Linked DNA regions of Anolis sagrei. The protein of the gene in region 1 purifies or fractionates together with the protein of each later gene. This does not show direct contact. Links are inferred from orthologs where the notes say so. Each region holds a gene or a part of one and is shown in the gene's direction. Other genes may lie near its edges. The genes, in order: PPIE and AQR.

Region 1 (15,707 bases):
TCAACAGTGGAACTCTCTGCCTGAGAGTCAAGTTAAGGCCTCTTCTTGGGAGGCTTTGAAACAGGCTGGATGGCCATCTGTTGAGAGGGCTTTGATTGTGCCTTTCCTGCCTGACATTAGGTTTCTTCCAACTCTAGGATTGTGTGTGAGAGAGAAGGGTATCTTTTCCGCTTCCTTCCTATGACCGCCTTGTTTTGCTCCCTCAGGCGAGCGTCTGTTCCCCCTCATCCAAGCCATGCACCTCAGTCTGGCAGGAAAGATCACTGGAATGCTGCTGGAGATTGACAACTCTGAGCTGCTGCACATGCTGGAGTCTCCGGAGTCCCTCCGCTCAAAAGTAAGGGCCTTTTTTGGGCTCCATTGCAGATGGACTACTGCAACGCTCTCTATGTGGGGCTACCTCTGAAGATAGTTCAGAAGCTTCAACGGGTTCAGAGATTGGCAGCCAGATCGCTAACAGGAGCTCCATACAAGGAGAGATCCACTTTCATGTTGTGGCAGCTCTACTGGCTGCTGGTCTGCTTCTGGACTAAATACAAAGTGCTGGCCATTTCCTTTAAAGGCCTAAATGGCTCGGGTCCAGGCTATTTGTCCGATTGCATCTCCTCTTATAAACCATCCCGACCACTGCAGTCATTGGAGCAGGTTCTGCTCTTGGTCCCACCCCCATCTCAAGCACAGCTGGTGGGAACAAGAGAGAGGGCCTTCTCCGTGGTCGTCCCCCACCTCTGGAGCTCTCTCCCTAAAGAAATAAAGCTAGCCCCCTTCCTCCTCTCCTTTAAAAAACAACTGAAGACCTACTTTTCCTCATAGCATATGGAGAGGAGGGGGGTTAGATGGTAGAGAGATCACTGCCGGGCCTCTGATTGAGAATATTTGTATTTGGGCTTTTCTGTTCCACGCTAGCCCAATGACCTCATTTGACTCCATAACCAACCCATACCCTTTTGTGAACCCTTGCTGGCTGTTGAATGTTTTCTTTAGATTTCTGTTACTATAGAATTTTGTCTGGCTACATGTAGTTTGATTTACTGATGTTTTAATGTTACTTTCATATGTGGGGTTTTTCTGGGATTTTATGTTAGTATTGCGTGTTTCATGTAGGCATTGAGTGTTTGCCATTGTTATGTTGGAATCCACCCTGAGTCCCCTTGGGAAGATAGAGCGGAATACAAATAAAGTTTTTATTATTATTATTACTTAAGCCCCACTGACTTGGCCTTTTTGTGGATTTCTGCTTTTCTCAGGTGGAGGAGGCCGTGGCTGTGTTGCAGGCCCACCAGGCGAAGAAAGAAGCCGCCCAAAAAGTGGGCATCGTTGCTGCTACCTCTTGAACCCGGGAGGCTGGTAAGTGACCCAGGCTCCGTTCAGCTCATGGCTCTCAATTTGTCCCTTTTTTCTCAAAGCAGTTGAATAAAGTTGTGGCAAACATGTTTGCATCGAGCCTTACTTATATTAATAGTTTCTGCATGAGAGTATGGATGCTTTGTTTGACTATCACCATTTAAAAAAAAATTATGGCAACTATTGATGCACAAGAAGAAAACCAAATGCTTGAGAAACATCACTTTAGAAAAGTCTTATAGTTAAAAATCAGGATGGAGTTTTGTCCCCTATTTTCTTAATGATCATCCCAAACCATGTAGGAGTTGAAACAATGATGGACTGAACTGTGTGACGGGTGGGAAACTGGGAAGGATTGCCTTGAAATTATAACCCAGCTCTTTAAAGTGTTACTTTTCTACTTTTCTAGGTTGTCAAAAGCCAGATGTCTCGCACCTCAAAGAAACTTTCTGATAAAGACGTGTAGAAATGAATGTGTCTTTTACATTTCACACCAACATCACTCACAGTATTCCACTGCGTGAAAATCATCTTATATGCCTTATTTGCACCAAAAATTCCCCAAAAATACATAAACACACACTGAAAAAAACCCTTTGGGTCAAAATATACCATGCTTCCGATTAACTACCTTGCATTTCCATGACCAAGACCTTGAAATGTTTTTTTGGCTGACCAGACATTTTGTTTGGTTTTAATGGGATAATCCTGTTTGCAAAGCCTGGAGTAGTGTTTGTCAATAAACAGAAGCATTTCCTGAAATGGCTTGCCTTCTCTTCCTCTTTTTTCTCTCAAAGCAGCCGCAAAGTATGTGCCACACAGCTTTGAATGACCTGGGTTCAAGTCACGAGTGCTTAATGGTTCATTTAACTGCATGGAAACAATACTGAAGCTTCTGTGTAGACATGCCCTTTGCAGCTCTGATTAGGTTGCAACACGAGTCTGCATTGGATGCTCTCCATTCAGGGCAGGGTGAGTTCTTCATGAGGTTTGTCTGAAAAGCATCATTAGCAGCAGAAGGACTGAATGTTTAGAGCAGGGGTCTGCAAACTAAGGTCCAGGAGCTGAATACGCCCCTCCAAGGTCATTTACCCAGCCCTTGCTCAGGGTCAACCTAAGTCTGACATGACTTGAAAGCATACAACAACAATCCTATCTCATCGGCCAAAAGCAGGCCCACACTTCCCATTGAAATACTAATAAGTTTATATTTATTAAAATTGTTCTTCATTTTAATTATTGTAATGTTTTAAGTGTTTTTTGCACTACAAATAAGATGTGTGCAGTGTGCATAGGAATTCATTCATTTTTTTTCCCAAATTATAATCCGGCCCTCCCAACAGTTTGAGGGACTGTGACCTGGCCCTCTGTTTAAAAAGTTTGAGAACCCCTGGTTTAGAGGCTCATATACACTGTTTTATGAGCCTCTGAACCAACACAATTGGTGCTTACTCTATAATTCTCAAAGCGAAATGGTCAGAATAGTAAGAATCGGGAAACCAATATGCCTTTATGGTGTTGGGTCTGAGTTCATCTGCAAAGCCAACCAACCCAAAGGCCTATGAAATCATAGGGGGATTTGTGAACCTTAGTTGAGAGATTCAAAATCTCCATGCCATCCTTGTTGCACAAATACATTCCTTTTCTTACATTCATCAAACAAATGCTATTTTAAATATTAAAAATATCATGTGTTTTATCTAGCAGGATGTTGTGTCAAATAAACTATCATTTCCCAGTTAAAGTACTGAGAAGTAACCTCTCTTAAGTGCTGCTCTTTAGAGGCATTGGACCTCTTCAGATTACGTACAGCCAGAGAAACTAGTAACTATATAGATCTTTATTGATGAATTGTAAAGGTTTTCCCTGACATTAAGTCTAGTTGTGTCCAACTCGGGGGGGGGGGGGGGGTGCTCATCTCCATTTCTAAGCCGAAGAGCCGGCATTGTCTGTAGACACTTCCAAGGTCATGTAGCCAGCATGGCTGCATGGAGCGCCGTTACCTTCCCGCAGAAGCCATAACTATTAATCGACTGACATTTGCATGTTTTCGAACTGCTAGGTTGGCAGAAGCTGGGCCTAACAGTGGGAGCTTACTCCACTCCCTGGATTCGGACTGCTAACCTTTCAGTCAGCAAGTTCAGCAGCTCAGTGGTTTAACCCACGGCACCACTAGGGGGCTTGTTGTATTTTGTGGCAACAAATTCCTTCATTTTAACTACTGCACAAGAGTGTCATACAGGGGAAATCCAGACAAGAATCGATCAGGGCCAGCTAACACTTCCCAACAAAGGATCCCGAGGCAGCAACCAGCTAGACTTTGAAACTGCAAGGCCATTAAATACTAATCAAGTTAGCAAATGGCAACATTCACACTTGCCTCAAACAGACAAAAGCGTTCTTTCTCCCACCCTGGACATTATTCCACAGATATATAAATTTCACTTGCCTAATATCCAACAGACCTCACAACCTCTGAGGATGCCTCCCATAGACGTCATCAAAAATACTTCTAGAAAATGCACTTACAGCCTGGAAAACTCAAAGCAAACCAGTGATTCTGACCATGAAAGCTTTCGACAACACACACATACAACATCTAACGCTTTAAAAGAGAAGGACAAGATAAAAGGATGATTATTCAGAAGAAAAAGCAGGCAGAAACACACAAAGAACAGAAAAAAGAAATAGAGATTTTGAACTTTGAACAATGCCTAAGATTGAGATGGGCTATACAAATGGACTGGTTATATAAAATTATCTTTGGTGTAATATAGAGAAAAAGCATGATAATTATAAAATTTAAGAATAGATTTCTTGTGAAACGATCTTATGAAAAATTATGCTCATTTTCTATTGAAGAACTGGAAAAGAATATATGAAGATCACAAAACAATGTGAGAAGACACATTGAAGAGACAACCAATGGACTTAAAGTTGTTAGAATCTTCACTATTATAACAAATATGTGTTAAAGAAATAGAGATGAAGATTTAGTTGTAACGATGACAATTTTGTAAAAGGAACCCCCCATACCCCAACAACCCCCACCCTCTTTATTTTCTCCTTGCGGCATAATAGAGACTGTAAATATGCAACTAACCAATAACAAATCTATTTTCCCATTTTTTTCTTCCCCTTTCCCCCCACCCTCATGTAAATGTTTAATAAACATTATGGGGGGGGGGGGGGAGAGGTACAGTCAGTCTTCCACATTTTCAGAGGTTTGAAGCACAGGACCCTGGTGAAAGTGAAGAATACAAATAAATGTTTTGGTTTTTTTACTAGACAGAATATCTCTAGGAATGGATACAGGGGTTCTCCAGATGTTTTGCACTTCAATTCTCAGAAACCTCAGCTCCCTTGATCAATAATCAAGGATTCTGGGCACCAAATTTCATCATCATCATCACTTTATTTCTTAATTAGTCGCTCTCCACCAAATTGCTCCGAGCGACTTACAATTTAAAATAGCTTATACACAATATAAAACATTCAACATAAAAACATTCAGCAGTGACTATGGCAAAATTTGATCCAATTACTTAAATGCACAACCAAACAGCCAAGTCTTGAGCGCCTTTACAAAAGGTTGCAACTCTGACATTGCTCTAATATATGGAGGCAATGAGTTCCACAGAATTGGAGCATAGATCAAAAAAGCTCTACGCCTTGTAGCTTCCAAATGTGCCTCCCTAGGACCTGGTATGTATAGGAGATTTTCCTGGGTGGATCGAGGTGACCACTGATGGGGAAAAGGAATGAGGCAGTCCCTAAGATATAAAGGTCCTTGGCCATTTTGAGCTCTAAATGTCAGGATCAGTATCATGTAAGAGATCCGATGTTCTATTGGTAGCCAATGCAGTTGTTACAGAATCGGTGTAATATGGGGTCTTATAGATGATCCCGCTAGCAACCTGGCTGCCGCATTTTGGACCATCTGAATCTTCTGGGTCATTGACTTCGGAAGGCCAGCATATAAGGCATTGCAATAGTCCAACCTAGTGGTGACTGTTGCGTGGATTACCGTTGCCAATGCTTCTACCGAAAGGTAGGATGCTAATTTCCTTGCCTGGCGAAGATGAAAAAAGGCCTGCTTACTTATGGCAGTGATCTGGCCCTCCATCGTCAGTGATGAATCCAACACAACCCCAAAGCTTTTAACAGTGGCAGACGGAACCAGAGCTTCCCCGTCGAAATCAGGCAGAGACTGGGTTAATTCTGGCGGCTGGCCGGGCCAGAGTATCTCAGTTTTTGCAGGATTGACTTTTATTCGTCTTGCTCGTAACCAACTCATCACTGCTTCCAAACACAGCTTAAAGTTCTCAGGAATCACGGTTGTCCCAGGTTCGAGACGCAAGAGTAGCTGGGTATCATCTGCAAACTGGTAGCACTCTATGCCAAAGCTCCGCACCAGTCCAGCAAGTGGTCGGACGTTGATGTTAAATAACAGGGGCGAGAGGATAGCACCCTGGGGAACTCCACAGCAAAGGCAGGAGCTCTCAGAGCTTTGGCCTGACCACTCCACCCTCTGTCTCCGGTCGCGGAGGAATGAATTGAACCATTTGAGGGCTAAACCTCGTACACCAGACGGAGCCAATCGATGAATCAGCAAGTCATGGTCCATGGTGTCAAATGCAGCTGTGAGGTCCAAGAGTACCAATAGCGCTGATCCGCCTCGGTCTAACTGATGACGAATTTCATCAGTAATAGCTACCAAGACAGTCTCTGTTTGAAAACACATGGAAGACTACAGTCTGGGAAACAGTCTATAGTCAACTTACAATTGAAGCTGAACATAGATGCACACTGGAGGAACTAGTGAACTGTCCTCTAGAAATCCCTGGATCCTCCAGGATGAAGATTGAGTCACACTGGAGAACCTGGGATTCCTAGAGAGAACATATTTACATTAAATCCATGAATAAACAAACAGGAAAGATTAAGTCCCTGATTGTCCTCCATCCAAGAAAGCTTCAGGGCAATGCGTTGTTGAAGGCTTTCATGGCTGGAATCTCTGGGTTGCTGTGAGTTTTCCAGGCTGTCTGGCTATGGTCCACAAGCATTCTTTCCTGACATTTCTCCCAAATCTATGACAGGCATCCTCAGAAGTTGTGAGGTTTGTTGGATACTAGGCAATTGGGGTTTATATATCTGGAATGCTCACAATGAGGAAATAACCTGTCTGTTGGAGGCAGGTGTGAATGTTGTAATTAGCCACCTTCATTAGCCTTGAATATCCTTGCAGCTTCAAGGTCTGACTGCTTACTGCCAGGGGGAATCCTTTATTGGGAGATGTAGTTGGCCCTGATCTGAATTTATTATTTATTATATTTGCGGTATTTGTATGCCACACTTCTCAACCCTGAAGGGGACTCAGGGAGGTTCACAGTGTTGGCAACAATTCAATGCCATTGATAAAAAACAGTATAAAACATCAAAATTGTCCCTCCCTTGATAAAACATTAAACATTATTACAGTGTTCCCTCACTTATTGCGGGTGTTATGTTCCAGAACCACCTGTGAAAAGTGAAAATCCGCAAAATAATTATTTTAATATTTATATATCATTTCAGTAGGTAAAGGTAAAGGTTTTCCCCTGACATGAAGTCCAGTCGTGTCCGACTCTGGGTATGGTGCTCATCTTCATTTCTAAGTTGAAGAGCTGGCGTTGTCCATAGACACCTCCAAGGTCATGTGGCCAGCATGACTGCATGGAGCACCGTTACCTTCCCACCAGAGCAGTACCTATAGATCTACTCACATTTGCATGTTTTCAAACTGCTAGGTTGGCAGAAGCTGGGGCTGACAGCGGAAACTCACACTGCTCCCTGGATTCAAATCTGCAACCTTTCGGACAAGCTCAGCAGCTCAGCGCATTAACCCAATGCACCATCGGGGGTTCCTTATTTCAGTAGTTATACACTATTTTAAGTCTTTATAAACCCTCCCCAGACACTTATACACTACATAACCCTCCTTGAATGTGTTGTTCACATAATCCTCAGCTCCGGCTTTATCTGCAGAGGCAGCCTCTCCATACAGACAAACGCTCTTAAGGCCAGAGCGCTTCTAAAATTAATCAAACCTGCCATGTGATCGTAAAGTTGCTTGGCCTTAGTCCGACCACGCACACGTGAGTCCGATGCTAATGTGAAATGGAAAAGCAGAGAATAGCTGCGCACAAGATTGTTGTTTTACCAGGTAAAGGTAAAGGTTTCCCCTGACATTAAGTCCAGTCGTGTCCGACTCTGGGATGTGGTGCTCATCTCCATTTCTAAGCCGAAGAGCCAGCGTTGTCCATAGACACCTCCAAGGTCATGTGGCTGGCATGACTGCATGGAGCGCCATTACCTTCCCGCCGGAGAGAATGCCTCTAGAACATGGCCATATAGCCCGAAAAAACCTACAACAACCCAGTGATTCCAGCCATGAAAGCCTTCGACAATACAGACCTCACAACCTCTGAGGATGCCTGCCATAGATGTGTGCGAAACGTCAGGAGAGAATGCTTCTGGAACATGGCCACACAGCCTGAAAAAAATCACAGCAACCCAGTGATTCCGGCCATGAAAGCCTTCGACAACACATAACCAAAAAGTGGGAGGAGAGAAACCAAACCTAAAAATGTATTGTTGAAGGCTTTCATGGCCGGAATCACTGGGTTGTTGTAGGTTTTTCTGGGCTATATGGCCATGTTCTAGAGGCATTTTCTCCTGACGTTTCGCCTGCATCTACAGCAAGCATACTCAGAGGTAGTGAGGTCTGTCGGAAGTAGGAAAATGGGTTTATATATCTGTGGAATGACCAGGGTGGGACAAAGGTCTGCTGGAGCTAGGTGTGAATCTTTCAACTGACCACCTTAATTAGCATTTGGTGCCTGGGGTAATCTTTGTTGAGAGGTGATTAGATGTGCCTGATTGTTTCCTCTCTGTTGTTTTGCTGTTGTAATTTTAGAGTTTTTTTTTAATACTGGTAGCCAGATTTTGTTCATTTTCATGGTTTCCTCTTTTCTGTTGAAATTGTCCACATGCTTGTGGATTTCAGTGGCTTCTCAGGAGAAAATGCCTCTAGAACATGGCCATAGAGCCCGGAAAAACCTACAACAACCCAAACCTTCAAAGGCAGGACGCTCTGCTTTGACGCAGAAAGCAGTGCGCGCGCTCCTCCTTTTCCTCCTTCCGGCCGCTTTTGGAATCCGTTTCCGGTCGGAGGGGGATTGTGGGAAGGCAAATGGCGTCCACCAAGAGGGTGCTGTATGTGGGTAAGGAGAAAAGACTGGGAAGAGAAGGGGGCGGCTTTCAAAGCTGGGGAGACCTTGGAGGCGGCGGCAGAAAGGCGCCTCGTCGAGCCAAGCGGGCAGGAGTTCTTGGGCCTGGGTTAGGGTTAGACTTGTAGGCCTGCCCTCCTTGCCTTCCCAATGGCGACGTAAGGGGCCTCTCTCTTCTTGTCCCCGTCTCCCTAGGCGGCCTGGCGGAGGAGGTGGACGAGAGGGTGCTGCACGCGGCTTTCATCCCCTTCGGAGACATCACCGACATCCAGATCCCTTTGGATTATGAGACAGGTGAGGAGGAAGGTGGGAAGGAGAGGAAAGAGAAGGGAAAGGAGAAGGAGAGTAAATAAAGGGAGGAGAAGAAAAGGGAGAAGAAAAAGGGGGAGAGGAAAGAGGAGGATAAAGGGAGGGGGAAAGAAGAAGGCAAAGAGGAGGGAGAGAGGAAAGAGGAGGAGAATAAAACAGGAAGAAGAAGAGAAAGGAGAAGAAAAGGATGAGGAAGGAAGATGAGAACAAGACGGAAAGTGGAGGAGAAGGAGAATAAAAGTGGGGAGGAAGAAGAAGAGGGAGCGAAAAGAGGAGAAGAAAAAGAGGGGGAAAGAGGAAGAGGAGGAAGAGAATACAAGGAAGGCGAAAGAAGGAAGAAGAGAAAGGAGAGGGAGAGAAAATAGGGGGAGGAGAAGAAAGGGAGGGGGAAAGAAGAAGGGAAAGAGGAGGAGAATAAAAGAAGGAAGAAGAGGGAGAGGAAAGAGGTGGAGGAGACTAAAAGGGGCAGAAGAATAGAAAGGAGAATAGAAGGATAAAGGAGGGAAGATGAGATCGAGACGGAAAGTGGAGGAGAAGGAGAATAAAAGTGAGGAGGAAGAAGAAGAGGGAGCGAAAAGAGGAGAAGGCAGAAAATAAAAAGGGGAAAGAGAAAGAGGAGGAAGAGAATAAAAGGAGGGGGAAAGAAGGAGAATAAAAGGAAGGAAGAAGAAAACGAGATGGAAAGTGGAGAAGGAGATTAAAAGGGGGGAAGAGGAGAAGGAGGAGAGTAAAAACGGGGAAAGAAAAGAAAAAGAGGAGGAAGAGAATAAAAGAAGGAAGGAAGAAGAGGAAGAAAAGAGGTGGAGGGGAATAAAAGGGGGAAGAAGAATAGAAAGGAGAAGAAAAGGATGAGGAAGGAAGATGAGAACGAGACAGAAAGTGGAGGAGAAGGAGAATAAAAGGGGTGAGGAAGAAGAAGAGGGAGCGAAAATGAGAAGGAGGAGAATAAAAAGAGGGGGAACAGGAAGAGGAGGAAGAGAATAAAAGGAGGGGAAAGAAGGAGAACAAAAGGAGGAAGGAAGAAGAGAACGAGGTGGAAAGTGGAGAAGGAGAATAAAAGGGGGAAGAAGAGGAGAAGGAGGAGAGTAAAAACATGGATGTGGGACCAGGTCTTTGGGTAATCTGTCAAACTGACAAGGACAATGGCGACTAGAGCTTTGGAAAGCATTATGATAATGCTGAATGGACTTGTGGATTACAGAACTCGGCGAACGTTGGCCACCAGATTGGCTTTTTTTTATTAGTTGTTATTGTATTAGTTGAATGTTTTAACTATTTATAATTGTTGCTGTTATATATTTTACTATGTTGAATTGTTGGCATCGAATTGTGCCGGTTGTAAGCCGCCCTGAGTCCCCCCTACTTTCTAATGTTTTAAATGGAGTCTCTGTTCTTGCAATTTGTATCCATTGCTCCATTTGTCCTGGTCTCCAGAGCAGCAGGAAACACACCTTTCCCGCTCCTCAGCGAGACATTTTTTAAATGTTTCAAAGAAAAACAGTAGTTATTTTTCTGACCTGCCTTTTTTCAGTATGAAATTAGGCTTCTCATAATAGTTTTACATGGAGGTCTGGTTGTCTATTGGTTGCCCATAAGGTTTGCTAAACTGATTATCCTTTTCTCATATCTCTGCAGAAAAGCATCGGGGTTTTGCTTTCATTGAATTCGAACTGGCTGAGGTAAGGAAATGCTGACATGTTGGCACCCCAAAAACCAAACATTTTTTGCAGAGGGATCCTATAGCACTTTAGAGCCCCAGAGAACAAGGTGAGTGGGCTAAGCTTTGGTAAACTCAGTTCTGCCTTCATCTCACTTCTTGTTGTTCAAGAAGGACTCTCCTTAACTTTAAATGGCACAAGGAAACCTAAAACACAGTGACCCCCAAGCATGGTATTTGGGGGCAACTTGAAATAAGGGATGATGAGTTATCAGTAAAAATATATCTTCTTTTCTTCTGTAGGATGCTGCAGCCGCCATCGACAACATGGTACGTCTCTCTTTAGATTTTCTGAATTTCATTTTGTGGAAAGATGAAATCCCCGCTCATTCCTAACAATATTTTCTGGTAGAAGTGAAGTAATCTGTTTTATAGACTCCGCTTTGATGGTAGGTTTGTGCACAGAGTCCTTCATTTTGGTTTTGCAAAAAGCACATAGAAAATCTCCCTTGTTCCAATACAGAGTTCTAGCTGAATGGTTCCAGTAAGATTTATTTTTAAATTAAGCAGTCTGACTTTTATGTGCTAAAAAAAAGAGAATACAGAATGAGGATGTCAGTTGTATGAGGGTTCTCCGGAAAGTAAGGTTACAAGGGACGTAGCTCTCGCGGGGAAATTTCTCGTAGGAAGTTGGTATCACTTCCATGTAGCGGGAAGCCAGCGGAAGCGAACAAGTAGTGCCAGTCATCAGTAGCTCATCGACTGGCGTGGTGAAGGTTAGAGATGAGCGTCCTCATTCCATTTCCCTCCGAGTGCAAAGTTTGTGCTGTAATACGCTACTGAAATGCTAAGGGCATGAACGCTGCTGCTATTCATGGCAAAACCGTTTCAGTTTATGGAGAAGATAGCATGTGACAAAATGGGTACGGAATATATTGTGAGACCATGAAGAAACTTCGCAAAGCCATCCAGAACAAATGTGATGGGATACTGACGGCGGGAGCCTATCTCCTTCATGACAATGTGCATCTGCACACCACTCATGCAACTCAAGAGTGGTTGACTTCATTTGGTTGAGATGTTTTAAGCCACTCCACTCACAACCCCGATCTCACACCCAGTGACTACCATCTGTTTACTAAATTGAAGGAACACCTGGGTGGAAGACACTTTTCCAACCACGACAAGGTGAAAATCGGAGTGATGAACTGACTGAAAAAGGTAGAAGGAGACTTCTATGACACAGGCATCAAAAACTCATCCCACTGATGACAAAATGTATTGAACTAAATGGTGATTGTGTGGGAAAATAACGTAATACCTATGCTGCAATCCATGTAAGTTTTATTAAAATATATTCATTCTTTGTCTTTTAAAAAATAGATATAACCTTAATGTATTATTGAAGGTTTTCATGGCTGGAATCACTGAGTTGTAGGTTTTTCTGGCTATAGGGCCATGTTCTAGACCTCACAACCTCTGAGGATGCTTGCCATAGATGCAGGCGAAACGTCAGGAGAGAATGCTTCTAGAACATGGCCATATAGCCCAAAAAACCTACAACAACTCAATTATAACCTTACTTTCTGGATAACCCTCGTAGAATCCAGTGGCAACAAAGAGGGCCAGGGGCAGGGAAATTAGTAGTGTAGTCCACTGAGAAATATGTGGGCATGAAAATGACTAAAGTGAAAGTATGGACAAACATGTTTTGCCTGCTTTAAGAGCCAACATAGTAAAATGGCTGCATTTATCCGGGACAGTGAAGTCCGTTTTCCTACATGATACTCATGTTAAGATGCTAAATCTAACCTACCTTATGTTGGGCTTGTATGAGAATTACATGATGATTTCAAAGTAATCCTCTCCCCTCCTTAGAATGAGTCTGAGTTGTTTGGGAGGACAATCCGCGTCAACTTGGCCAAACCGATGAGGATCAAGGAAGGCTCCTCTCGCCCAGGTAAGCCATGCAATTGGGACAGGAAGAATCATAGAGTTGGAAGAGACCTCGTGGGTCATCCAGTCCAACCCCCTGCCAAGAAGCAGGAAAGAATGGTTCTTCACCTTTGTGTTTCTGTTTGTGTGTACTTTTGGACCAGGGGAGATTCTGTCTGTGAATCCTGAGTTAAATATACCTGAATAGGAAGGTTCCAAAGATTTTTTTCATCTTGTGTATAAACATCCCAGAAATACTTATGTAACAAAATTTGGAAAAAAATGCTCTTCCTAGTTTGAAAATACGTTTTAATTGTGTGGTACTTACTTTGAAAGCAGTTGTTCTACTCCAGAAACTTCGTTTTTGTGGCTGCCACAATCTGTAGAATTGGTTGAGACTGGGATATTCATTGCTGCAGAATATCCTGCAGGATGTGCCGCAGAAGTAAAGTTTTTGCAGTTTAATAAACCTTTTCCATATTTTTATGATAGGGCCCCCTGGTGGTGCCGTGGGTTAAACCACTGAGCTATTGAACTTGCTGACCGAAAGGTTAGCGGTTTGAATCTGGGGAGCAAGGTGAGCTCCCACTGTTAGCCAAGCTCTTCCAACCTAGCAGTTCAAAAACATGCAAATGTGAGTAGATCAATAGGTACTGCTTCTGCAGGAAGGTAATGGCGCTCCATTCAGTTGTGCTTGCCACATGACCTTGGATGCATCTACGGACATCGTCTTAGAAATTAAGATGAGCATTACCCTCCAGAGTCGGACATGACTAGACTTAATGTCAAGGGGAAACCTTTACCTTTACTACCAATTAGGCAATTACATTTATAGCCCTGGACCAAAATCATATTACATAGTGGTATCACTTGATTAACGTTTCTGTTTTCTCATTGCCTTCCATTTTCCTTTGACAGTCTGGTCGGATGATGACTGGCTGAAGAAATTCTCTGGAAAGACGCTTGAGGAGAATGTGGAGGAAGAAGGGGCAGAGCCAGCCCGGTCAGAGGCCCAGGAGGTGCGTGGCCATCTTTCCTTCGGTTAAGTAAGGGGCAGTTGGGGTTCTGTAGGTTTTGCACTTTTAGCACTCCACTTTTGGCCACGGCCTTAGAGCTCATTTTCACACAACTCTTTCTTAGGGGCTGGATGAAGTCATTTAGCACCGCCAAACCTGTAGGTACCTCCAGATTGGCCTGCATAGTTTCCATGCCCATATAGACAATGCGTGGTGGGATAACAGATGCCGAGGTTAGGCAGCCTGATGTCACACATCCTTCAGCTACAGTTTACCCCTTCTCTCTAGACATTTCTAGGTCCTCCAATGCCATTCCATGGTCTTCCATGGCAGAAGTCGACCACAGAATTCTGTTGGAAGACTGAAGAGTTCCTATTGAGGTGTTCTCTCATGTAAAAGACATCACAAATTCTGTCATGAGGGCCCTATGCCCTTAGTGGGAGGGCTGGCTGTAGCTGACGTCAAAGCTCAATGTAGTATAGATTGTAGATCAATGTAGCAAAGTGGATATTATTAATGCACAGTGTTTTATGTTGCAAAGTTATTTGTCCTCAAGTGGTTTTCTGGGGTAGGTTATTTGTGGCCATGGGTGCTATGCTTACATGGCAGATAATTAGGCTCCGACTCACTTGGCTGAGATTTATCATAGAATAAGCTGTATCTCTCCCTGTTTTAGGGAGAGCCACCAGCAAAGAAGTCAAGGGCAAACCCCCAGGTTTACATGGATATCAAGATTGGGAACAAGCCAGCTGGCCGATTGAACATCCTTCTGCGATCGGACATTGTACCTATGACTGCTGGTAAGCAAAACCTCTGGCTGTTGGATATTGTGTGTCTTCAAGTGCCCAATTCCATGGCCCTATAGTTTGCTGTTTGCACTTTCCCATGCCCAGCTCTTTTGATAGCCAGGTCATGCCCATTTTAGTAGCCCTGGATCCGGATTTGAGTATTGATTGGGTGGAGTTTTGATGCTAATGTTTTATACTTTTATGTCTATTCACTTTGTTTTAAAATGGACAAATGCTCCACATGATTATGTTCTTATTTTAATTGTGTATTTGTTTCATGGATTGTTCGTTTATTGTCTTATGGACATTTGGTCCCATATAAGCTGTCCCTTCAGGGAGATGGTGGCAGGGTATAACAATAAAGTTGTTGTTGTTATTTTAACTTAGGGCCACTCTAAGACAACCCTACCTCAGGTTTACCATGCCAAGGTTTGCCACTTTCTGAGGCTGAGAGAGTGAGACTCACTCAGGGGTTCCATGTTGAACAATATTCCCTCGCAGCCTCCTAACTAGGATAGCCAAGGGAAAGGGTTGCTGGGAGTTGAAGCCATATCTAGAAGGGCACACGAAACCCAGTGTAAACGACACAAGGTCTGGTGCAATACCGTTAACTCAAACTAGAATACAATGAAAGAGAGTTCAAAACATGTTTGAAAAGCAGTCAGGGAGGTCCAAACACATATCCCATGTTTATGGCACCCTACTCGAGAAAGAGCCTTCGGTGGCTCAGTGGGTTAAAGCACAGAGCTGCTGAGCTTGTTGACCGAAAGGTCGCAGGTTTGAATCTGGGGAGCGGTGTGAGCTTCCGCTGTTAGCCCCAGCTGCTGCCAACCTAGCAGTTCAAAAACATGCAAATGTGAGTAGATGAATACGTAGCGCTCTGGTGGGAAGGTAACGGCGCTCCATGCAGTCATGCCAGCCACATGACCTTGGAGGTGTCTACGGACAACGCTGGCTCTTTGGCTTAGAAATAGAGTTGATTACCACACCCCAGAGCCGGACACGACTGGACTGAATGTCAGGGGAAAACTTTACCTACTTGAAAAAGGTGTCTTACCCTTCTTGGGTGGCATCTCATAAAAGTGGGAGGACGCCCACATTTATCAAGATAGCAACTGGAAGAGATGTCATATAGCTTTCCGCTGCCATTTGGAGACTCATGGCAGAGGAAACGCAACCTCCTTGGTGGACATTCCATGAACGTGAGAAGTGTTCAGACATTCCAATGGCTTTGGCCCTCTGCTTTTGTGCTTGCTGCCCTTGCTCTCTCAACGGTGCCCCTTTTCTGCTTTGGACCACAGAGAACTTCCGCTGCCTTTGCACCCACGAGAAGGGCTTTGGCTTCAAAGGCAGCAGCTTCCACCGCGTCATCCCCCAGTTCATGTGC
Region 2 (15,286 bases), on another chromosome or scaffold:
TTTTTTTTAACTTTTTATTTTTACAATACAGAAAATACATACCTTGCACACACAAAACATTTACAATTCCCACCACCAACATGAGGATTATTATCTTTCACATATTCATTTCTTTTTGAGACAATCATTATTTCTTTATCTTTATACATTTCCATCCTGTATGCTATATAGCATTTGTATCTTATTTCTTATGACCTGATCTCCAGAATGATTCATAATATAGTTCATTACCCTTGTCCATCTATCTTCCATTTCTCTCATTCGATTTTCATTGATTTTTAAATCATTTAATTTCACATTCATAATTTCGAATTCCATTTGCTCCACCATATAATGGTACCATTTATTTATTGTCCATTTTGATTTATCTTTCCACCCTAATACTATTACTGCTTGTGCACATTCAATTATTGCTTCTTTTATTTCCCTTTTATTTCCCATTTCCTCTCTTTTCCCTAATACCGCTAATTCCTTTGTTATGACCCACTCATTTCCTAATATTTGATTTGCCACATTTTGTATAGTCTGCCAAAAGTCTTATACATATTCACATTCCCACATCATGTGCATAAAGTGCCCTTTCTGGTGACATCCATGCCAGCACTGACTACTCCCCTCTTTATAGTAGTATGCTAATTGGCAGGGTGTGCGATACCATTTGTGCAATATTTTCCTCCTCGTTTCTCGTACTTTAGTATTCCTTTCCATCCCTATTATCTCTACCACATTTCTCATTTCTTGTTCCGAGATTTGTAACTCTGTTTCCCACATAGTTTTCAAGTCCTGTATTGTACATCCATCGGCCTCTATTAGCATTGTATATATTTTGCTGGCCTGTGCCTTCTTTCCTTCCCCTTTTTCTCTTATTATCTTTTCAAAGGCGGTATCTTCTCTCTTAACCATATTGATATTTTCTTTTGTTTTGCAATATGCACAAATTGCTCTTATCTGTAACCAGTTTTCTTGCCCAAGCCATTGTTTAATTTTATTCTCCCTTACCTTTCCCTCTCTGTCATATAATTGTTCTACTCTCTCTATTCCTTTTTCCTTCAATATCTGGATATTTCTATTCATATTTGATTCCTTATCCTTGTTAATTATCCATACTGTTGACATTTTGGATTTTAAACTACTTATTCTCCCTTGCCATTTCTTCCACACTTGCATTGTTCCTTTCATTGGTCCTGTTAATTTATCTATATTTCTCTTATCCCATTTTCTAAAAATTATTTCTTCACAATTAACTCCATTCATTTCCTTTTCAAATCTCACCCATTTTTTATTTGTCACTTGTAATTCTATTGCTCTTTCAATTTGGAAGGCATCGCTATATAGCTCTAGGCATGGGCAGCCCCATCCCCCTTTCATTTCTTTTGCAATTCTCAATTTTTTCCTTACTCTTGGTCTTTTCCCCCCTTCAACCCAATAATTTAGTTTCCTATCCCATTCCTTTAATTTTGCTAAGGGAGGGATTCCTGGGAGAGCCTGAAATAGATATATAATTTTTGGAATTATCAATATTTTCAATGCCCTTATCCTAGACATCTGTCTCAAATTTTTATTCTTCCACCTACTCAATTGTTTTAACATTCTCTTCCATGCCATTCTGTAATTTCCATCTATTATTTTATCAAGTGTCTTATATATCCAGATTCCCAAATACTTAATCTTTTTAATACCCAATTTTAACCCTGATTCCTTCCTTATCTCCAATTGTTCCCTTGGGGGTGTATTGATAAATAATATCTCTGATTTCTCCATATTAACTGATAGCCCTGATTCTTTTTTAAACTCCCTCAAAGTTAATTGAATTGATTTAATCATTTCCCTTGGTCTCTGTGTCAAAATTATTGCATCGTCCGCATACAGGTTCAATCTCAATTCCTCCTTCCTCCCAATCTTATACCCTTCCCATGTTTCATCCGTCCTTATTCTATGTGCTAGGGGTTCTATTGCCAGAGCAAATAACATTGGAGATAACGGACACCCCTGTTTGGTCCCATTTTCAATTTGAATGTTTTCCGTTCTTTGTCCATTCACTCTAATACAAGCTGTATTTTCCCTATATACATTTTTGATCATTTCACAAAAGTTATTTCCCAAATTTAGTTCTTTACATAATCTGTACAAATATACATGGTTTACTTTATCGAAAGCTTTGTACACATCTAACTTTAGAATTGACAGTTTTCTTTTCATTTTTGTCGAATGGCAAATCGCGTTGACAACATTCCTTATTGGCTCATTGATTCCCCGCCCTTTAACGAACCCATATTGGTCTTCTCCTATAATCTTTGGTAGAATAACTTCCAATCTATTGGCTATAATTTTCATAAATATCTTATAATCTTGGTTTGCTAAACTGATCGGACGATATGATTCTGGGAGCTCTGGTTGTCTATCTGGCTTCAAAACTGGAATAATTTCTGAAAGTTTCCATGTTTCTGGGACAATACCTCTCAAATATACCTCATTAAACATTGCTGTCATATATGGTACCAACTCATGCATAAAGGTCTTATAAAATTCTGCTGTGTATCCATCTATACCCGGTGCCTTAAATTGTTTCAGTCCTTTAATTACCTGAATTACTTCTTCCTGTGTAATTTCTTCGTTTAGCATGCTTTTATCCTCCTCATTTACTTTATTCCCAATTTTTATTTCTTCATTTTTCACCTGTTCTTTTTGGTACAAATCCCTGTAAAATTCTCTCATTATGTTTTCTAGTTCCTTTCTCCCTTCTTTCACCAATCCATTTTTGTCTTTAAGTTTTGTTATGCATGACTTTTTCTTTCTCCTCTTTAAATATCTCACCATTTGTTTCATTGATTTTGTACCCCATCCATTGATTCGTTGTCTCACACACTGTCTCATTTTATTCCATTGCACCTCATCCATTAATTCCAATTCTTTCTTTTTCTGCTTTAGAATACTATTTATATTTTTTCTCCTTGTTATTCTCAGTTGTTCCTGTATTAATTCGATTTCTTTTATACATTTTTCTCTTTTCTCTCTCCAACTTTTCCTTATATGGGACTCAATACTAATACATTGTCCTCGTAATACACTTTTAAATGAGTCCCATACCACATCTTTAGATAATTCTCCAGTATCATTTATTCTGTAATATTCTTTTATCTCCTCCTGAAGCTTCCTTTTATATTCATCTTTTCCTATTACCACCGAATTATACCTCCAAATTCTTTGTCTTATCTCATTGCTCAATCCCACAGTTGCAATCAGGGGACTATGGTCCGACAAAAATATTGGTTTCCTTTCTACCTTCTTTATTTGAGCTTTACTTGCTTTGTTTATTAGAATATAATCTATACAGCTAAATTTATTATGTCTTGCTGAGTAATAAGTATCTCTAATACTCTGATTTGCATGTGCATCCACCATATTAAGCTTATTTACATTTACTGCTTTATTAATTTTAGTAGTTAAGTCCAAATTGAAATCACCTGCCCAAATCAATGTCCCTTCCGCATAATTATCCAGCTTCTTTTTTGTATTCAGTATATACTGTTTTGTGTTTCTGTTAGGTGCATACATCACAGCTAATGTTATTTTAACCTGATTTATCTTCCCTTTCACGAATACAGTTCTGCCTTCCCTATCTTTTTGAACATCAAGCACCTCAAATGGAACATTTTCATTAATAAGAATCGCTACCCCTCGTGAGTTCCCTGTCCCCCTAGATTCAAAAATTCTATTCCATGTTTTATCCTTAATCAATTTATCCCTCCCCCTCTTTTTATGAGTTTCCGATAACATCATCACATTTATTTTACAGTCCCTTGCCAATTTCAACAATCTATGAATCTTGAGATCTGCATTTCCATTCAAATTTAGTGCAAGAATAGAAATATCACACATTTGTTTTGTTTGATTTCATTTTTGTATCTCCCCCTTGTCTCTTCAGCTTCCTTTCTTCTCCTCTCACCCTTTTTGCCCCCCTCCCTGGATCCCCAATGTGCCCCTTCCCCTCTGAGTCCAGTGCTTCCCCTTCTCTCATCAGAGAAGGATCTGAAAGAGTTATATTCTCTTCCCTTCCCAGAGTCCTTTTGGTGGCTGCGTTGCCCTTCTCCAGTTCCCCCTCCTGCAAAAAAAAAGATTTTTTTTTTAAACCCAGTTTGTCAAAAGTTTTTTTTTTATGCTTGCATCTTGGATCTTGTCTCCATTCTTCTTGATTCCTCTTTCAGCTTTTGCTTTTTCAGTTCTCTCAACTGTTTTTCTAAAGTTCGTATTTGATCCAAGTCCATTTGCTTCAAATTTCTTAAATCTATAGTCTCTTGTAAATCTTGTCCTTGCTCTCCTTCCCTGTTCATCGAGTCTCCAATAACAAATAAACTCTCAGTCCGCTCGCCTCTGTCTGCAGCTTCCAGCTCTGTTGATGTTATCAGTCCAGCTGGCTGTAGAGTGTCCTTGGCCTTTTTCCTCCCCTTCTTTCTTTTGAGACTTCTGTGGGCCTCTTCGTTGTCTGATTCCTCTGTCTCATCCGACACTCCCCCTTCTGTACAAAATCTCAAAAGTCTAAGCATGGTCTTACCACTAGCCAAATCTGTAGCTTTAAATAATTTGCCATCTTTATAGACAATTAGGGTGGCTGGAAAAGCCCAAGTATAGCGCTGGTTCTTTTCCTCCAGGACTCTTGTAATTTCCTTCATTTGTGCTCTTTTATCTAATGTCTCTGATGATAAATCCAGGAGAGGCCAGACCGTTTTGCCTGCCAAGGTAAGGTCTTTTGTTTTTCGGAGCTGATTATACACTCTTTCCTTCAAAGCCTCTCTTGAGAATTTGATCAAAATGTCTCTGGGTTTTTTTCTGCCTCTGTAAGCCCAGTGCACTCTTTCTATATCGTCTGGTATAATTTGGGTCAAGGTCTGCAGCCAACTAACAATATTTTGTTTTAAATTGTCATTTATCTGAAGATCCTGCCCTGCTGTTCTCAGACGTATATTTGCCCTTCTAGACCGATCTTCCTGGTCCGCAATCTTGTTTAGAAGATTTTGCTTTGCACTTTCTAAATGTTGTTTTAAGTTGGCTATCTCCTCTTTCTGTTTTCTAGTCTCCTCTTCCACCTCCATAAATTTTCCTTCGTACTGCTGCACCTTTGACTCCATTGATCCCAGCCGGGTATTAATCATTTTAACTTGTTCTTTTAATTCATCATTCCCCTTCCTTAAGCTTTCAGTGCTTATCTTAAGTTCATTCAATGTTTGTAATATTTGGTCCAGCTTCTGCCCCCATTCCACTCCCTCCGTCATTATGGAACTCACGTTCAGTTCTTTCCTTCGCTGGTCTTCTGATTTATTCTATGAGGATTCAAGTTTCAGTCACTCAAACCTCGATCTGCTTTTCTTCCTCCTTTTCCCCGACCGGGTCCAAGTTGGAGACAGGTTTACGGTCTTCCTGGGCTTTTTAAAGTAAGCTTTATTTATTTTGCAGTTAGGGAGCTCTTTTAGGCACGTCTATCTTATTTGACGCATGCGCAGCTCCCCCCGGCTTCACAGTGTTCAAACATATTTTTCTCACAATTAGCAGCAACTTCCTGTTGCACATGGCGGGGAGGGGGCAGCACCAGCTAGCTTGTAGAGTCTATCAACAGGTGTAGGTTTGAGACATCCTGTGATTATTCTGCATGTTTCATTCAGTGCTATGTTCACCTGCTTCGCATGAACTGACTTATGCCAAACAGGGCAGGCATACTCAGCAGGTGAGTAAGACAAGGCCACGGCTGATTTTCTTATTAATTTTGGGTCTGCTCCCCATGCACTGACAGTAAGTTTCCGCAGGATGTTATTGCGTGCAGCTACTTTGTGCTTGATGTTCAATGGGGCTGAACCACATGAAATAGCCTTATCCTGCACTGAGTGTGGGAAAAGGCATGTGGGTCATGTAGATACCAAGATGTAGATTCTCATAGGCCCCAGGTTATATTGCCTGGGTAGGTATGCCCTGAATCAAGGAAGACACAAACCTGAATTTGCAAGACCTCAGCTGGGCCTGGAGATCTTTCATTCATAGGGTTGCCATAAGTCAAAGTCAACTGGATGACAATGAACGACAACAGTGTATATAAGGTTCCCTGTTTTCTTTTTCCCAAAACGCAAACCAGGTCAAGTAGCTTTAAGAACAGAACTCTTTCACCAAATGCAACTGTTGGTCCCAACTAGAGTAGACTCAAGAGAACTTAAGGTATATAAGGAAAGACTTATCATGTTCCTATTCATTCAGTGAGTCAAAAAGGAGGACTCAAACTGGACTCAGGTTAGGAACTGCATTATATGGTCAATGAAGACCCATATAATGTAGTTTAACTGTATAGAACTCCATTATATGGGTCTACGCTTGTTGCATTATATGGCAGTTTGAGTTCCTTCCCTGATACTTCCATTCCTGAGAAATCTTTTCCTATGCATTTTTCTAATCATTTTCCTAATCATTTCCTTTCCCTCTTCAAAACATTTCAATGTAAAAGGATTTCTTTCTAAATGTTGAAAAAAAAAAGTTTGTCAGCATTTGTCAATATTTGATACTGTTTTATAATGCAAAGCATTCATGACATCACTAGGTTCTTGTGGGTTTTTTCGGGCTATAGAGCCATGTTCTAGAGGCATTTCTCCTGACGTTTCGCCTGCATCTATGGCAAGCATCCTCAGAGGTTGTGAGGTCTGTTGGAAGTAGGAAAAATGGGTTTATATATCTGTGGATCTACTTCCAACAGACCTCACAACCTCTGAGGATGCTTGCCATAGATGCAGGCGAAACGTCAGGAGAAATGCCTCTAGAACATGGCTCTATAGCCCGAAAAAACCCACAAGAACCTAGTGATTCCAGCCATGAAAGCCTTCGACAATACATATTCATGACATCCCTTAAACACCATGTAATGCATATATAATTTAGAGAATTTGTTTCAAGAATCTCAAAGTGAGAGTCTAATTTAGAATATAAGTTTTAGGCTAATATGAGAACTGATATAAGATGGACAATATATATATATATATATTCTAAAAGAAATTATAAAAAGAAATTGTACAGCATCTGCTGCTACACCAAATGCCCACAAGAGGGGAGCATTGATCACAGCCATTTCCACTAGTTCAGAAACCGTTTGGAGTATTTGGCCTCTAAGGGACAATCAGCTTCTACCTATTGTTAGGGATTATGGGAGTTGAAGTCCAAAACGCCTGGAGGGCCGTAGTTTGCCCATGCCTGTTCTAACCAGCCCATGCCTGTTCTAACCCCCTGCCAAGAAGCAGGAAAATTGTATTCAAAGCACCCCCGACAGATGGCCATCCAGCCTCTGTTTAAAAACTTCCAAAGAAGGAGCCTCCAAAGAAGGATCCATAATATCCATCATGTTTTACAGCCAAAATGCATTATCAAAAATGTTCTATGATCCGAAATGCTTTAACTGCCATGGCTCAGCTCTATGCAATCCCAAGAATTGTAATTTGGCGAGACCTTGTAAAACTACAACTCTCAGGATTCCATAGCAATTGAGCCATGGCAGTTAAAGAGGTGTCAAACTGCATTACCTCCACAGTGTAGGTGGACCCTGAGTGAAAGACAGGGATAGCAGAAGCTCTGGTAGAGTTTAGGACAGGCATGGGCAAACTTTGGCCATCCGGGTGTTTTGGATTTCAATTCCCACAATTCCTAACAGCCTACTGGCAAAATTGATGCAGTTTGATACCAATTTAACTGCTACAACTTAATGCTATGGAATCCTGAGAGTTGAAACTTGGTGAGACCATGTAAAACTACAGCTTCCATAGCAATGAGTCATGGCAGTTAGAGCGGGGTCAAACTGCATCAATTCTACAATGTAGATGCACCCTGAAAGACAGGGATAGCAGACGCTCTGCCTTAGTTTAGGGTGTATCTACACAGTGGAAGTAATACTGTTTGACATTAGTTTAACTGCCACAACTCAATGCTGTGGAATTCTGAGAGTTGTAGTTTGGCGTGGCCTTGTAAAACCACAACTCTCAGGATTAAATAGCATTGAGCCATGGAAATTAATGCTGTTTGATATTAGTTTAACTGCCACAACTCAATGCTGTGGAATTCTGAGAGTTGTAGTTTGGCGTGGCCTTGTAAAACCACAACTCTCAGGATGAAATAGCATTGAGCCATGGAAATTAATGCTGTTTGATATTAGTTTAACTGCCACAACTCAATGCTGTGGAATTCTGAGAGTTGTATTTTGGCGTGGCCTTGTAAAACCACAGCTCTCAGGATTAAATAGCATTGAACCATGGAATCAGTGTCAAACTGCATCCATTCTACAGTGCAGATGCACCCTGAGAGGAAGACTGGGATAGCAGAAGCTCTGGTAGAGTTTAGAGTGCATCTACATTGTGGAATTAATGCCGTTTGACACCACATTAACTGCCACAACTCAATGCTATGGAATCCTGAGAGTTGTAGTTTGCTAAAGCACCAGCCATATTCAGAGCCATGGAAGCCGTCATGCCTCAAGAGGCTATGCAATCCTGAGATTTGTAGTTTGGTGAATTTGGCACAGAAGGCTAAACACCTGGAATATTGTGTCCAATTCTGGGCACCACAATTCAAGAGAGATATTGACAAGCTGGAATGTGTCCAGAGGAGAGCGACTAAAATGATCAAGGGTCTGGAGAACAAGACCTATGAGGAGCAGCTTAAGAAGCTGGACATGTTTAGGCTGAGAGGGGATATGATAGCCATGTATAAATATGTGAGAGGAAGCCACAGGGGGGAGGGAGCAAACTTATTTTCTGCTTCCCTGGAGACTAGGACGTGGAACAATGGCTTCAAACTACAAGAGAGGAGATTCCATCTGAACATGAGGAAGAACTTCCTGACTGTGGGAGCCGTTCAGCAGTGGAACTCTCTGTGGTGGAGGCTCCTTCTTTGAAAGCTTTTAAACAGAGGCTGGATGGCCATCTGTCAGGGGTGATTTGAATGCAATATTCCTACTTCTTGGCAGGGGGTTGGACTGGATGGCCCATGAGGTCTCTTCCAACTCTATGATTCTATGATTCTATGAAACTACAGCTCCCAGGATTTCAATGTATTGGAACATGGCAAAGAATTCGCACCCTAAGGGCCTTCCACACAGCTTTATAACAAGCAGAGACTCCCACAAGATCTACTCTGAACTGGGTTACCTGAGTCCACATTTCTATATATCCCAGAATCAATCCAGAAAATGTGGGATTTCATTCAGTTGTGTGGAAGCGCTTCAGGCATTTGAGGAGTCAAGACTTCCGTCTACGCTGCCATGGCAACAAGGAAAGGCGGAAGGAGGAGGGGAGCATAAACTTGCGGGACCGGAAGTACGCGAGGCCGCTTCAGGCAAGGCGCGGGATGCTATTCGGCGAAGGGGGAAAGGGGCGGGTCCAAGCGTAGAGCGTGGAAGGGGGAGGTTCCCGCCCGGAAGAATCGTAGAGGGAAGATGGCGGCTCCGACGGGAGCCGTGGCGGGAGCGTTTCCCGCGCCGGCGGCTTCGCCTCTGCCTCCTCCCAAGAAGATTGTGGCCCCCACCGTCTCCCAGATCAACGCGGAGTTCGTGACGCAGGTGAGCATCTCCGCCTGGCCCTCAGGAAGGAGACCTTGAGACCTCTCTGGCGGCGCCTCAACATCAGCCAGGCATGGGCAAACCTCGGCCTTCCCTCCGGGTGTTTTGGACTTCAACTCCCACAATTCCTAACAGCCGGTTAGGAATTGTGGGAGCTGAAGTCCAAAACACCCGGAGGGAAGGCCGAGGTTTGCCCATGCCTGGTCTGCACTGTAGATATTCTGGGATTTAAGCCCTAGTTTCCACAGTTAGAGTCCAATGCTCAAGCCCCTACATCACATTGGCCTTATTTAACTAAAGGTCTTTGAACGCCATTCAAATTCTACAGCACTGCTGGTCACAGCTGACCTCCAGCTGAGCGCTCAAGAGTTTTTAAGGTTGGCTTTGAGCCCATCTTTGAATCTCTTTTCCTGTCTGCCAACATTCAGTTTTCCGTTCTTGAGTTCGGAGTAGAGCAACTGTTTTGGGAGACGGTGGTCTGGCATCCGGACAACATGGCCGGTCCAGCGAAGTTGACGGCAGAGGACCATCGCTTCAATGCTAGCGGTCTTTGCTTCTTCCAGCACACTGACATTTGTCCGCCTGTCTTCCCAAGAGATTTGCAGGATTTTTCGGAGGCAGCGCAAATTGAATCGTTCTAGGAGTTGCATGTGATGTCTGTAGATAGTCCACATCTCGCAGGCATATAGCAGGGTTGGGAGGACAATAGCTTTGTAGACAAGCACCTTGGTATCCCTACGGATGTCCTGGTCCTCAAACACTCTGTGTTTCATTTGGAAAAATGCTGCACTCACAGAGGTCAGGTGGTGTTATATTTCATTGTCAATATGAGAAGCTCTGCCTGTCGTTGAACATTGAGAAAACCAAAGTGCTTTTCCAGCAGTCACCAGCCAATCTCTCCCCAATGCCAGAAATACAGCTTAATACTGTAACATTAGAAAATGTCGACCATTTCCACTACCTTGGCAGCCACCTCTCCACAAAAGTCAACATTAACACCGAGATTCCAAGATATTTAAGGCCTGGGTCAGAAAATAGATTTTACTTCAGTGGATTTTTGCTTAGTTTCCTTCCTGTTATCCTGGAAATTCTAGTGTTTACAAGAGAGATGACTTTCACCCAAATGTCAAAGGGGCATGTGACATAATGTCCACAAAGTTGTAGAGGGGTTTCTTAAAGTAGGGTCCCCCTGTTATGTTCTGGTCATCGACCGTAATAAAGTTTGTTTACTAGAGGAGGAGAACCAGGTTCAGATTCCCATAAACATGACATTCACTGCATGACTTTAGGGCGGTCAGTCTCATATTGGCCTACCTCACAGGGTTGTTGTGAGGACAAACTGGAAGAGAGCAGTTTGCACTGTCTTAAACTCATTAGAAAAATGTGAGATATAATATTATTCAAGCAAACATGTTCAAAGTGGGGAGATGCAAACTTTCTCTCTAGACCAGTGGTTCTCAGCCTGAGGGTCCCCAGATGTTTTGGACTTCAAGTCCCAGAAATCCTAACAGCTGATAAACTGACTGGGATTTCTAGGAGTTTTAGGCCAAAACACCTAGGGACCCACAGGTTGAGAACTAGTGCAGTCATAGATTCATAGAGTTGGAAGAGAGCTTGTCGGCCATCCAGTCCAACCCCCTTCCATGAAGCAGGAAAATCGTATTCAAAGCACCCCCAACAGATGGCCATCCAGCCTCTGTTTAAAAGCCTACAGAGAAGGAGCCTCCATCACACTCCAGAGCAGAGAGTCCCACTGCTTAACAGTTCTCACAGTTAGGAAGTTCAGAATCTCAATTCCTGTAGTCCCTAACTGTCTTACACATTTGTGTTGAAGAAATGTTGAAGAAGCCATTGTTCTGCATCCTAGTCTCCAGGGCAGCAGAAAACAAGCCTCCTCCCTATGACTTCCCCTCACATATTTATACATAACCATCAGGTCTCCTCTCACCCTTCTCTTCTGCAGGCTAAACATACCCAGCTCTTTAAGCTGTTCTTATTCTCCAAACCATTGATAACTGTAGTCACCCTCTAGACACATTCCAGCTTATCAGTACCTTCCTTCAATTCTAGCGACTCAATCTAGACTGAGTAGCTAGAATTGACATGGTATTTATTCACTTTGACAATTTAGAGCACTTTGACAATATGGTAAAAGCTTGTTTGGATTTCTGTTTGCCTATTTTAATATTAAGTCAATACAGTGACATATTTCAATGCCATAGTCTTTTTTTCCTTACAGTTGGCCAATAAGTACTGGGCACCACATGTCAAGAAAAAGCTACCATTTGAATCAAAGGTAATAATTTAATATATTATTAAATTTAATATATTGTTCGGTATTTAATTGTAAATGCTTGACATTAATAGGAATCCTGTTAAAATTATGTTTACTTTTAAGATAATTAAGAATATTGATTTGATTCTAGCTTTTCTTGATGTTTTAATGCAGTTTTAAATATTTCTGTGTTTGCTTTTTTATAATTCTAAATGTATCATCATTATTCATACTTTCTATTATTGTTATTATCCTATGCTACTTTTTTCTCTGAAAGAAACTCATAGCAGTGAATAGTGGCAAAAGCAATACAATATACTATTTAAAACCCAGGGACTATAAACATTAACATAGAATTTAACATAGTACAATTTTAAAAAGGAATAATTATCACCATTAAAAGCAGTCAAATCAATTTAAAATACAGAAAAATATGAATACCTGTTAAAGTTATTATACATTGAAGATGGTTTGCTTTAAAAGAAGGGCTTTAAAAATATTTCTGTCCTTTATTGTTCTTTCCCTGTAAATTGTTTCAACTTTATTGACGTTTCTTCTACTTCCATATCATTGGAAAGATACTAATCTTACTAAAGCAACCATCCTAGTGCCTATCTAAAAAAAGCTCTCTCTCTCTCTCTCTCTCTGTAGGTTATTGAAGATGTCTATGGCAAAGAAATTGTTAGATCAAAGTATGTACCCTAACTGTCTTACACATTTGTGTTGAAGAAATGTTTCCATTAAAAAAAATCCTAAATTGCATTCTCTGAACTACCTAATTGTATGATGTTGTGACCATAACCATTGTAATGTGCAGTTGAAATTGCTTAGTATGATAAAAATGTCAGGGTAGCTGTCTTGACGGTTGAACAGTTTCCAAAATGCACACCCAAATTACCATCTGGCAAAAGGGAGGGAATACTACAATTGGACATGTTTAAGATGCAAATGTAAAATGTTAGATTGGAAGGTGTCTCTGGGAGCTTTAAGCTGAGGACCATATCTGAACAAAACTGGCCCTATGACTAGACTGGGAAGATGGAGGCAGCCTCCTCAGACAGAAAGATGTTGGAGGTTGTAGCGTGCCTTTAGCAATGCCTTCTGACTCCTTGCCCCTCCAGTCATTTCTCTGTTTTGTTCAACAGAATCTAAAATACAGTAAGACTCCCATACCTATGAGTGATGCCTTCCCGGATGGATCTTGGTTGCATGCTTCTGCCCAGTCTAGTAGTTGGAAAAGCCCTATTCCTCATCTTAAAGCTTCCACAGACTCCAAGGCATGCTGTCAAATTGTCTGGAGTACCTGGTAAATTACAGAAGTCTACAACATTGGAATATAATTAAAAGATAAAAGGATGCTCCACAGCTTGGGAGCAACCAGCGAGAAGGTTATCTCTCATGTCCTCATCAAACATGCCTATGATGGTGGTGAGGATTGTGCAACTACTTATGCTAATTATTTTTATGCACACATATTTTGTAAAACTTTGTGTCTGTTTTGGTGCAATTCCTTCCTGAGACTTTTCACTCCAGCTTATGTCTGTAGAATGGAATTGTCCCAACAGTTAAGCCATTGAAGTGTATGAGATGACATGACAGTGTTGCAACATGAGACACGCGTTCAAAGGTCACAGACTTTTTAATCAAGGCATTTGTGTTTGAGTACAAATTACGGAAAACTGATGTAGACCAGAGAAGGTTTCATCTGTGTTTATTTGTTTTTGATTTCAGATTTGCTATTCGGAAAATAATGCTCCTAGAATTTAGGTAAGTGTTCTAAGTTATCTATCATGGTTTAGAATGTCCCAGGTTCAAATATGTCCTTAGCCACACACTCAGTAAATGAATTCTGCAAGCCACCATTTCCTAACCTTCATCTGCAGCATGGAAATAATAGTATTAAACATACCTTGAAGAGTTGTTGAAGGGATAACTAAGATAATCTTTAGAAAATATTGTCTGTATTCTATGTCTTGACAACTGATTTTATTAGTTTTTAAGAATAGAATGTACAATGTGTGAAGCATTGTAGTTCATTATTTTAGTAAGCTGTATCCTAAAATGTAAAATCTACTGTTAGCTCTGTATAGCCATCATGGCCATGCTGGTTAGCAAAAAATGGGAGTTGTAGTACCTCTGCGCCTCTGATTGTCATTTTTCTATTTTGAATAGCATAGGGAAGGGTTAGCACCCCTGAAATGTTTGTTTTGCTGTCTGTGCCCCTGTTCGAAAGATTTCACCTCACTCTCTGTTCGTGACAATTGGATTTTGAAAATTTTGGGTTGCCATTGAAACAAGGATTGGTGAGAAAACTTCAATGGAGAATCCCATTTCCCATGATGATGCTTACAGGAGTGAATTTCCCTTCCGGGGAGCAGATTTCCTCTCACTTCCTGTTGCCTTGCCCCTGTTCGTCACTGAGGGTTGTATTTTAATTCAGATGTTTATAGGTTGGGGACTGCCTGTAATTGATTTAATTCACACAAACTTTTGTGCATATAAACCCACTTTCTCAGTTGAATATTCAAGTTTTGTTGCTCAGGAGAGGGCAGCCCAAAATTCTGAGTAATTTTCTCTCTCTAAACCAGTCTGTGCTGGTGGTGATAATAACCTGAAAGAGAAGTGGAATTTAAATGAGTTATCGATAAAAAGTTTGTGCTTGGGACTATCCTATTCGTAACCCAGGGACTCGTGTTATTACGCATAGTCAGAGATGTTTATTTTATGTACATTTTTTCATAGACCAGGATCAATGTAATAAATCTGTTACAATAAATGCAGTCATATAACTTCAAGTTGGCTCTCACTAATGAAGACTGTATCATTAACTTGACAACATTTCATCAGAAGTTTGTTATTACCTTCCTCTAAAGCTGAAAGAGTGTGACATGAGAGAGGGTACCCAGTGGGCTTTCACAGTTGAATGGGAGTTCATATTCTGATCTCCCAGAATCATAGTCCAATTCTCAAACCACTTCACCTTATAGTCAGTTAATGCTGGGGAGAGGGGAAGGTCATTGTTGTTATATAATTAAATGTATAGAGCAATACTACCAATGTGCTTCTGAAAACACAAAAGAAATCATTTTGAGTCATTCTAGGCTGATTTATTTGTAGCCTCTCAATTTTAATAATTTTCACTGGCATTGTGGAACCAGTGCTCAATTTTAGTCCTTTTGTTAAATGTCTGTGGTGTTGGCACAGTTATCTCCTCTCTACTGCTTTATTTGGCATAATTATGATTTGTCTAAACCAGATTTCTTTGTCTTGGGAGGCAGTCTTTAGAGTCTTCCAGCAAGTGTGTTGAAGTCTGTCCCTTATGTAGTGCAGATGCATTTTCTCTTCCCACCTAAAGTCAGTATCAATTAGAGTTCAACCTAATATGAAGCTTGTACAAGCAGATATAATACTTCTTTTTAACAAACGGAACCTTCCAG

What was found.
Region 2: the proteins of PPIE (region 1) and AQR purify together in Homo sapiens (affinity purification with mass spectrometry; 5 studies listed by BioGRID and IntAct, counting the BioPlex papers as one, with this or other methods). This does not show direct contact. The link is inferred for Anolis sagrei from reciprocal best matches to the Homo sapiens genes PPIE and AQR.

What each region holds. Positions count from the first base shown.
Region 1 is NC_090034.1:84,714,310-84,730,016, reverse strand, and holds the start of PPIE (peptidyl-prolyl cis-trans isomerase E), read left to right. Parts: upstream 1-8,510; 5' UTR 8,511-8,578; coding exon 8,579-8,609; intron 8,610-8,810; coding exon 8,811-8,909; intron 8,910-10,559; coding exon 10,560-10,603; intron 10,604-10,884; coding exon 10,885-10,911; intron 10,912-12,459; coding exon 12,460-12,541; intron 12,542-13,434; coding exon 13,435-13,535; intron 13,536-14,208; coding exon 14,209-14,332; intron 14,333-15,621; coding exon 15,622-15,707. Other genes in the region: PABPC4 (polyadenylate-binding protein 4), read left to right, coding at 207-337, 1,248-1,334. UniProt on the Homo sapiens protein: Involved in pre-mRNA splicing as component of the spliceosome. Combines RNA-binding and PPIase activities.
Region 2 is NC_090021.1:294,767,417-294,782,702, forward strand, and holds the start of AQR (RNA helicase aquarius), read left to right. Parts: upstream 1-9,403; 5' UTR 9,404-9,451; coding exon 9,452-9,574; intron 9,575-11,813; coding exon 11,814-11,870; intron 11,871-12,500; coding exon 12,501-12,541; intron 12,542-13,580; coding exon 13,581-13,616; intron 13,617-15,286.